2 separate regions of the Mus musculus genome follow, and region 2 is reported to be linked to region 1. Evidence: microRNA targets listed by miRTarBase, many of them from high-throughput screens and not tested one by one. Region 1 holds a microRNA gene; the other region holds the end of a gene's coding sequence.
The links. The annotated mature microRNA mmu-miR-218-5p reads UUGUGCUUGAUCUAACCAUGU and lies in region 1 at 1,647-1,667, shown strand. An mRNA with a match to its seed (bases 2 to 7 or 8) in the 3' UTR can be bound and repressed. Matches are read on the target gene's strand: a 7mer-m8 pairs with bases 2 to 8, a 7mer-A1 pairs with bases 2 to 7 and ends in A, and an 8mer does both.

Region 2: the mRNA of Trappc13 is a reported target of mmu-miR-218-5p. Seed matches in the 3' UTR shown: 7mer-m8 at 1,608-1,614.

Annotation. Positions count from the first base shown.
Region 1 is chr11:35,615,194-35,619,407 of GRCm38, forward strand. Mir218-2 (microRNA 218-2) reads left to right here and starts at 1,623; the gene lies at 1,623-1,732. The region is part of intron 14 of Slit3 (slit guidance ligand 3); the gene reads left to right.
Region 2 is chr13:104,140,392-104,144,605 of GRCm38, reverse strand. Trappc13 (trafficking protein particle complex 13) reads left to right here. Exons shown (of 13, transcript NM_001093759.1): 12 at 55-202; 13 at 361-2,453. The coding sequence ends at 468. Sgtb (small glutamine-rich tetratricopeptide repeat (TPR)-containing, beta) reads right to left here. Exons shown (of 11, transcript NM_144838.2): 11 at 2,745-4,214. Among named protein-coding and RNA genes, the nearest start is that of Sgtb, 33 kb to the right of the region's middle.

The sequences.
Region 1 (4,214 bases):
AAGAGAGGGCCAGAGAGGAACTTTATTGTGTACACATGCAAGTCTCTCTCTCTCTCTCTCTCTGTGTGTGTGTGTGTGTGTGTGTGTGTGTGTGTGTGTGTGTGTATGCATATGTGTATTGTGTGAGTGCATGTGCACATATGTGGCATGACACAGCAGAAGTATGGAGATCAGAGGACAGCTTTCAGGAGTTTGTTAACCCACTCTATGGAGCTTGGGGATGGAGCCCAGGTCACTAGGCCTGGCAGCACCTTTACCTTCTGGCTCATCTTCCCAGCCACCCAAGGATGTTCTAAGTTTGTGAAATGTACCCTACTCATACCAAGGCCCTCACAGGAGACATCTTAGAACTAGAGTGTTCACAGAGCCCTGGAGTTCCAGGTGCAGCAGAGCCCACAGTGCCATTAGTAGCTGTAGTCTATCTGATTGGGATAGGGAAAGAGAGGTGAACAGGGCCAGGCATGGGTGAACGCTAACTGGACCATTAATGCACACAGCCCACACAATGCTAAGCTGCTGAGTATGAGAGCACCTTGTCAATGAAGACAGTCCCCAAAACTATGGTAGAGGAGAGTGACCTGTCCCTCCCATCAGAGGTTGTGTCCAACAGAGATGATCAGAGTCATGTGGCTGTGGCTCCATTTCTTTGAGATATGCACAGCTCTAGCGTGATGCCAAGTAGGAAAAAATGTCACCTATGGAAGATGGGATGTAAAGATTGACTCTATGGCATACAAGATAAATAGACCGAGTCTACCTAACTCTCTCTCTCTCTCATGATTCCCAGCCAGAGAAGGGATCTAGAAATCAAAAAGAAACCTAAAATTAGATGTCTTACTCTGAGGCTGTACGATTGATTCTCTGGCCCTTTCCTTCCTTCTCTTAGTCATTATCAGAAGGCAGCCTCCGACCACCCTCTATGCATTAGCTCTACCTGTGACAGTGTTCTCAGACCATAATGACTATAGGTATCGCCTTCTGAGACCCATGGCCCCACTGAGGCTCTGTTCTTTGCCCAGCTGAGATGTGGTTGCTTTTCGCTCCACAACTCCCCCTCTACTGTACCTCAGAGCAGCAGAAATGATTGGCTATCGGCCCAGGGGGCCAGGAGACCCTGCCTGCAAGGTCCCCAGGAGCCTCTCGAGTTGTGGGATGTTGAAGGGAGGATTTGCCTGGAGATGAGATTATGCTGTGCTAGACCATGTCTTTATTTAAGAGGAATAGACTGCCATGGGGCTCTTCAGCTGTGGGGGCAGTCCTGTGTCACAAAGCATGAGGAAAGGTTTTGCTGATTTTCATGTCTTATCAGATTACATAGTGGGGTGGCATGGGACAGATTTTACAGGCTCAGTCCTGGGTTAGTATGTAATTGGTGTGTCAGCTGCCAGAATGCTCTTGGATATGAGTGTATGAAGGTTTCCCACCTTGTCCCTCTTTGCTGCTGAGTCTCCCTGGGGCAGGGCACTGGGAGGTGGGGGCCCCTGTCTTTGGCAGGATCCAGTGGACCGCACTCCTGGTACTAATCACGCTCAGTGGGGGCCTGCTCTGGCTTCAGCTTCTCCACGCTGCTTCCTCTGAGCGCTCCTGTCCTCTCTCTGACGCTGCTTCCTGACCTTGACTCTGACCAGTTGCCGCGGGGCTTTCCTTTGTGCTTGATCTAACCATGTGGTGGAACGATGGAAACGGAACATGGTTCTGTCAAGCACCGCGGAAAGCATCGCTCTCTCCTGCAGCATGGCCTGCTGCCACCGCCGCCGCCACCACCACCACCACCACCGCTGGACTCTTCTCTGCTCTGGATCACCGCGCCTGCCAGACCCACTTCTCCCAGTCTTAACTCCCAGAGGGAAGGGGGTGGGAATCCTGAAGGAGTCAGGTACATGGTGACAGGAGGTTAGAGAAACCCACGGGGCCGTGCTTCGAGTATCCACATTACTTAATGAGATGTAGTCACTATGCTCCAAGTCTGGTCTCAAGGGATCCTCAAGAGTAGCAGCTAGGTTCCAACTTCCCATTTTAAGAAGACAAGTATACCTAAGATATATGCCCCAGGGTTTCATGGGAGAGACCCAGTACAGGGACACTACGTGGTAGCTAATGCAGAGGGTGAGTCGCTCTTGACTTTCACCACTCTTGGTGTGCATTTCATTTGAAATGAATGTAGGAAGAGAATGGGTAGAACAGACATGGGTCTGAGACTTTGAACTTGAAAGGGGACTCCTTCTGACCCCGATGAACCCCGATATCCAACCTGATAGCCTTGGACCATAGCTTACATGGAAGCGTGGGGCTCTTCATATGGTGCCATTCAGAGGCCTGGAGAGGTCTGTGCAGACACCGGCTGTCTCTGACCACAGAGGGATCTTGGCACCATCTCTTTAACTTGTGTCTTGATAAATCCTGGGCCCAATATAATTAGAAGACTTTGTTGTCACTTTTGGGCTGGAGTCTGTACCTTACTCCAGGAGCTAAGGTGGACACAGCCATACTTAGCAGTAGGAGCCAGATTCTGTGTCCCCACCAAGCTGTGTGACTTAACTATCTCCTCTCTGGTTGTGACCCAGAGAAAGGCCCCAGCCACTGATGAGTGATAGCTGTCCTCTTGGTCTCTCTGAACATTGGAATGTATACTTACCATCATCACCCTTATAATACTTTAGATTCCATTTTACAGATAAGGGTATTGAGGCAGGATATTAACTAGCTGGTCAGGGTTATCTAGCTCCCAACTGGCTGGGCTTTACCTCCGTGCTATTTAGCTCTCCCTTGTCTGGACACTCATTGCCTTGAAAAGACTTTTTTTTTTTTTTTTTTAGAAACTTTGACTTGAATTGATGACAAGTTGAAGATGTTTCTTATACTCTATTCCCAGCTTCCATCTCTTACTAGAAATGACTGGAGTAAAAAGGAGAGAAAGCATTGTTCAAGTGCCTTTTCTTCTCCAACAGGATCATACAAGATCTCATGGATACAAGCAGCCCCTCCTACATAGAGAAATGTCCCACCCCTCCTTGCCGAGGGAACACTTTTAGCACTGCCCACATCATGCCAGGGCCAGGCCTTGGGGAGCGAATCCATCATGGCGCCCTTCCTTGGCACCTCCATGATGCTACAGCAGCAGGCTTGTGGCTGCACCATGGGCCTCTCCCTCTGCTTTCAGGCAAGCAACTGAGCTGCAGAGACAGCTTCCTGCTCAAATGATAGCCATACTCCTTCTAAAACAGCTAGTGTTTCTCAACCACAGGTGTCTGGTCCCCCACAGCCCGGCAGAGGAATGGGTGTCTGTGTATGCAATGTCCTTGTTTCTGTTCACCACTCACGACTCTACCCTCCGCTTGTCCGTGTTCCTTCCTTCTCAAGCTGATAAACCCTGACAGGCCTTTGACCACCCCCACCCCTGTTTCTTCCTCTCATCCCAGCCATCTTGGGGATGCTTGGGATAGAGGAGAACTCTGGATACAGGCATTGGCTCCCCCCACTGACCACATAATGATAAACATGTGGATTCTGTACCACATGCTGGCTGCCCGAAAGCTAGTGCCCAATGTAGCCAGCCAACATCAGCAGCCACCCTATCTGTGTCCCTTACTACTTCTGATCCTAGACCATCCAATCTGCTGGTCTTCTAGATGTGTCACGCTGCCCTCCCAGAAGTAGATGCAGGACAGGGATATATAATAAAGTAAAAAATAAAATAAAATCACTGCTGTCGATTTTAACCTTTCACCCAACTTCCATCTATTAAAGTCTGTCTCTGATTATGTACCATGTGTTATTGTTCTGAGATGCCTGCAAACGGGGAGAGGGCTACAGGGGCAGAGGCAGGCAACAGCCAGGTGACATCAGATCCTCTGAGGCCATCTCCAGTTGGGGTTGGACTATATGGCCTGTCTTCGAATCCTGCAAGATCTCACCCACCTGAGCTCACCCCCAAAGAGAAAGAGCTGAAACCTGTTTCAGTTGGTTCTCTCCCCCAAAGGATTTCTGGCAGTGACAAATACGTGTTGAGATTGAAATTGACTTTTAAAGCTCTGGAAAAGTTAAAAATACTTTTGGGTAGTTATGAGCATTAGGCATAACAAATGGCTCCGAGGAACCCCGGGTAGCTTCCGTAATGAAATATGAAGTGACAGAGGTGGCATTTCGTGCTGGCTCTGACTGGGAAATGAACTTTTTCGGTTATGTACATACGCCGTTATTAACATTTCTGGTTC
Region 2 (4,214 bases), not on the chromosome of region 1:
GGTATCTGCTTAGGAAATAAACAGATTTATCCTGGTTTCTGATTGTTTCAGCAGTGAGAGGATGATGGACCTCGTGCTGGAGATGTGCAACACCAATTCCATCCACTGGTGTGGGATCTCAGGACGACAGCTGGGGAAACTGCACCCCAGCTCCTCGCTCTGCCTGGCCCTGACGCTCCTGTCCTCAGTACAGGGGCTCCAAGTACGTGCTGTTCAGTGATTTCAACCGGGTGGGCTAAGTCATCATTTCTGATAGCTGTATTTTCCATGGTAATTATCAATGAGTGAACACTGAGGTGCATCTCATATTTTCTCTCTCTCTCTCTCTCTCTCTCTCTCTCTCTCTCTCTCTCTCTCTAGAGTGTCTCTGGCTTAAGACTCACTGACACATTTCTAAAGAGAACATACGAATATGATGACATCGCGCAAGTCTGCGTAGTCTCAGCAGCCGTGGAAGTGGAAGCCTAAAGAAAATTCCTAATGTTAGACTTCTTGTTTAATCACAGAAATGCTCTCTGTATTTCGTCAGCTTTGTGCAGTGATCAGTAGTGAAAACAAGTATATGTTATTTAAATGTTTCTTGTAAAACAGTTCAATTTTAAACGTTTGTTGTAAAAACACTACTTTTATCTTTCAAATTATATTCTAGAGGAACAAAACATTTCTTTATTTTCTGTATATATTTTGTGTCCTTTAAGATACCTGTCATTTTTTTTGTTTTCAACAAGCTCATCTTTGAGGCTTTTTGTCTAACAAGTATATAAAAAGCAGTCAGCGAACCTTTTTGTAAAGGGCTGGGTATCAGATGTCTTATGCTCGGTGAACAGATGAATTCTGCCATCTGAGTAGGCAGGCAGGTGTATCCGTGGTTGATGGACCTGCTTGCCAAGGCCCCTAGGCTACACACTAACTCTGCTGGAAGACACCATTTGCTTTAGGATTATCGAATTTCCATGATACTTAATATAGAAAGTTAGTTGAACTAATCATGGTCAACTGCATTCTCTTTCCTAGGTGCTTAGTCAACAAAGAGAGGCCTGTGTAAAACAATTCAGCCAGAGAAACATTTCAGTTGTTTTCAAAATTGTTGTATGGTTGCATGTCTGTCTTAGTGTACACATACCAACACACGTTAACAGACACTCGAGAGCAGGCCAGGATTGACTGATTTAATTAGCTTTCAACAATGTTAGCAATTATTTCACTTTAATCTAAAGACTCCTGGGGTCTTCCCTACTGAAGAATAAAGAGCTTATTTTCATAATATACATTTAAATGATTCCAACTTCACATCTGATTTTTTTCTTTCTTTTTTTTTTTTTTTTTGGTTTTTCGAGACAGAGTTTCTCTGTGTATCCCTGGCTGTCCTGGACTCACTTTGTAGACCAGGCTGGCCTCGAACTCAGAAATCCGCCTGCCTCTGCCTCCCGAGTGCTGGGATTAAAGGCGTCGCCACCACGCCCAGCTGTGACTTTTAGCTCTCTATCATGTACTAATATAAAAGATTTATTTGTCCGTTTAATCACAAACATTCGGGGGCTGGAGAGACGGCTCAGAGGTTAAGAGCCCTAACTGCTCTTCTAGAGGTCCTGAGTTCAATTCTCAGCAAGCACATGGTGGCTCACAACCATCTGTAATGGGTTCTGATGCCCTCTTCTGGTGTGTGTGAAGACAATGGTAGTGTACTCACATATATAAGATAAATAAATCTTTAAAAAAATTACAACCATTCATGTCAGGAACAAATCAGCAAGAAAACTAAGGCTTACAACAGCTTTGCAATAGGTATGCATCAAAACGCTTCCCTGTTTATTAGGGAAACAAAACCCATGCTGTTAAATAAACTTCATCCTAGTTTGGCGAGTTCAAAATCCCTACTATATATTAAAAATATAACTCTTGGGCTGGAGAGATGGCTCAGCAATTAAGAGCGCTGACTGCTCTTCCAGAGGTCCTGAGTTCAATTCCCAGCCAACCACATGATGGCTCACAGCCATCTGTAATGGGATTCAATGTCTTTTTCTGGTGTGTCTACAGACAGCAACAGTGTATCCACATACATGAAATAAAAAAATTAAAAGTTCTAAAAAATATAAGTCAAAGACAAAATCTGTTTTCTTAAATGCATAATTATTTATTGCCATGACAAATTGTTTGGTCCAAAATGAAAGGTATATTCAGAAGACTTGCCCCTCACATACATTAGTCATGATTGATGAATGTCTGTGCAAAACAAAATATAAGCAGTGAGAACTGAGGTCCGTTCCTTTGGGCTGACAGACTGGTCAAGTCGTATTTATCAGCATCTTCTTATGACTGAACCACTGTTTCAGTCAGTAGGAATGTACAACTTATTCTGCTATATTCTTTAGGTTACAAAGTCTCTTCTGTGTATACACAACATAGCTGTGTACTATTCATACTTTAAATAAAGGACAGATAATGCCATCTTATAAAGGATCTGAGTCAACTATTATAAAAACTAGATTGACAATTTGATATAGTAAATGAAAATTCCATTTCCATAGAAAGGACACAGTGGATTTTGCATAGCACGGTCACAGCGTCAGCTACACCATTGAAATGGGTTCATGGAAGTCAGGCATCCTAATTAGGACACATGGAAGTCAGGCATCCTAATCAGAACACGTGGAAGTCAGGCATCCCTAATCAGAACACATGGAAGTACTCAGTGCCCTGTTTCTCAACAAGAAGGGGAAGAATACTGGGGAAGTGTCTTAAACTTTTAAGACAGCTAGCACAATCAGACCATACCAAAAAAATTATTGAAATGGCTTGCAGTGTGATGATTCCGATGTGCTGGACAGACCCGAAGAGTGAAGGGTGTCCTGACTGGAAAGAAAATCTGTGGAAATGGGAGACAACATCTGGCTGTCTGGTCCTTCCTTCCCAAAGAAACAAAACTAGAAACGTGCAGTGAAAGATGCACTGGTTCCTGTGTCCCACCTAAGAAGAGCTGCCTTCAGCAAGGGGCATCAGCACATGAAGATAGAGTTCCCAAGCTGGGAATTCTTATCCGAGTCCTACTGCTCACATGAGTTGGGGGCTGTTTCTTCCTTGTCTGCTTCCCGAAAGAGTTAAAGAGAAGGGATATCCTTCTCTCCCAAGACCACTGAAATCATCTGAGCCTTATTTTTTTTTTTTTAACAAGACAGGCCTATTCAGCTTATCTTCTTCACAAAGATTTGTTTCCCAAAGTTGTTAAATACAGAAATCTAGAGCAAGTCATGAGGTTTTCTAATTGTCTGTTTTGTTGTTGTTTGGGTCGGGTTTTTTTTCTACTGGGGTGTTTGGGGGTTTTTGTTTTCGAGACAGGGGTCCTGTAGCCCAGGCTAGCATTGTACTCACTGTGTAGCCAAGAGTGATGCTGAATTCCTGGTCCTGACCCTTACCTCCCACGTGCTGGGACTCACCGCCATTCCCTTTGCATGCAGTACTAGGGAAGGGGTAACCCAGGGCCTCACACATGCTGGGCAAGCACTATGCACTGATCTGTGTTCCCAGGCGCTCTGGTTGTCCTTTAACAGCTCCAGGATCTGTTCCATGGGGCATCTACTCTCTGTTCCTACTTATTTCCTCTCTAATGCAGTGATGGGATACGAACCAAGTTTTTGGTTAATAAGCCAGTTCCATTTGAAATGAGCCTTCTTATCCATCAGTGCACTAAGAGTCCTCCCATCGATAGCTCGTGTCATTTCTTCCTACTAAGCACACGCCAGATGCACAGTGTGGCATCCAATTTAAAATAAGACAGTTGAAGTCTCCTGTTACGTTTAAATTGCAATAAATTAAAGTTAAGCATAAGAACCGACATGCCAAGCCAAACTGCACCAAAGGATTACACAAGTGAGCAATGTTAGAGATGGATGCTTCTGTTAGCCATCAAATAATGGTCAAGAAAAATAGTCATCGTCGTCGTCGTCTTTGATGGGCACATAATTAAATCCCACTTAGGAAACCCGGAATCTGGGGACACGTCAGTGGCTTCTTTAAATGTAACGAGATACTGCCCTAGGTAAGTTTTCCAGCAATGAAATTGTGACATTTAAGCTGTGATAATTAAATGGGGCAGTAATGTCACTGACCTGACCAGCATCATTAAGGATTTCTAAGTATGTTTCATTATGTACTTAACTGGCCATGCGAATGCTATAAACACGAAGCTACAGACAAGCTTAGTTTAAAAAATCTAT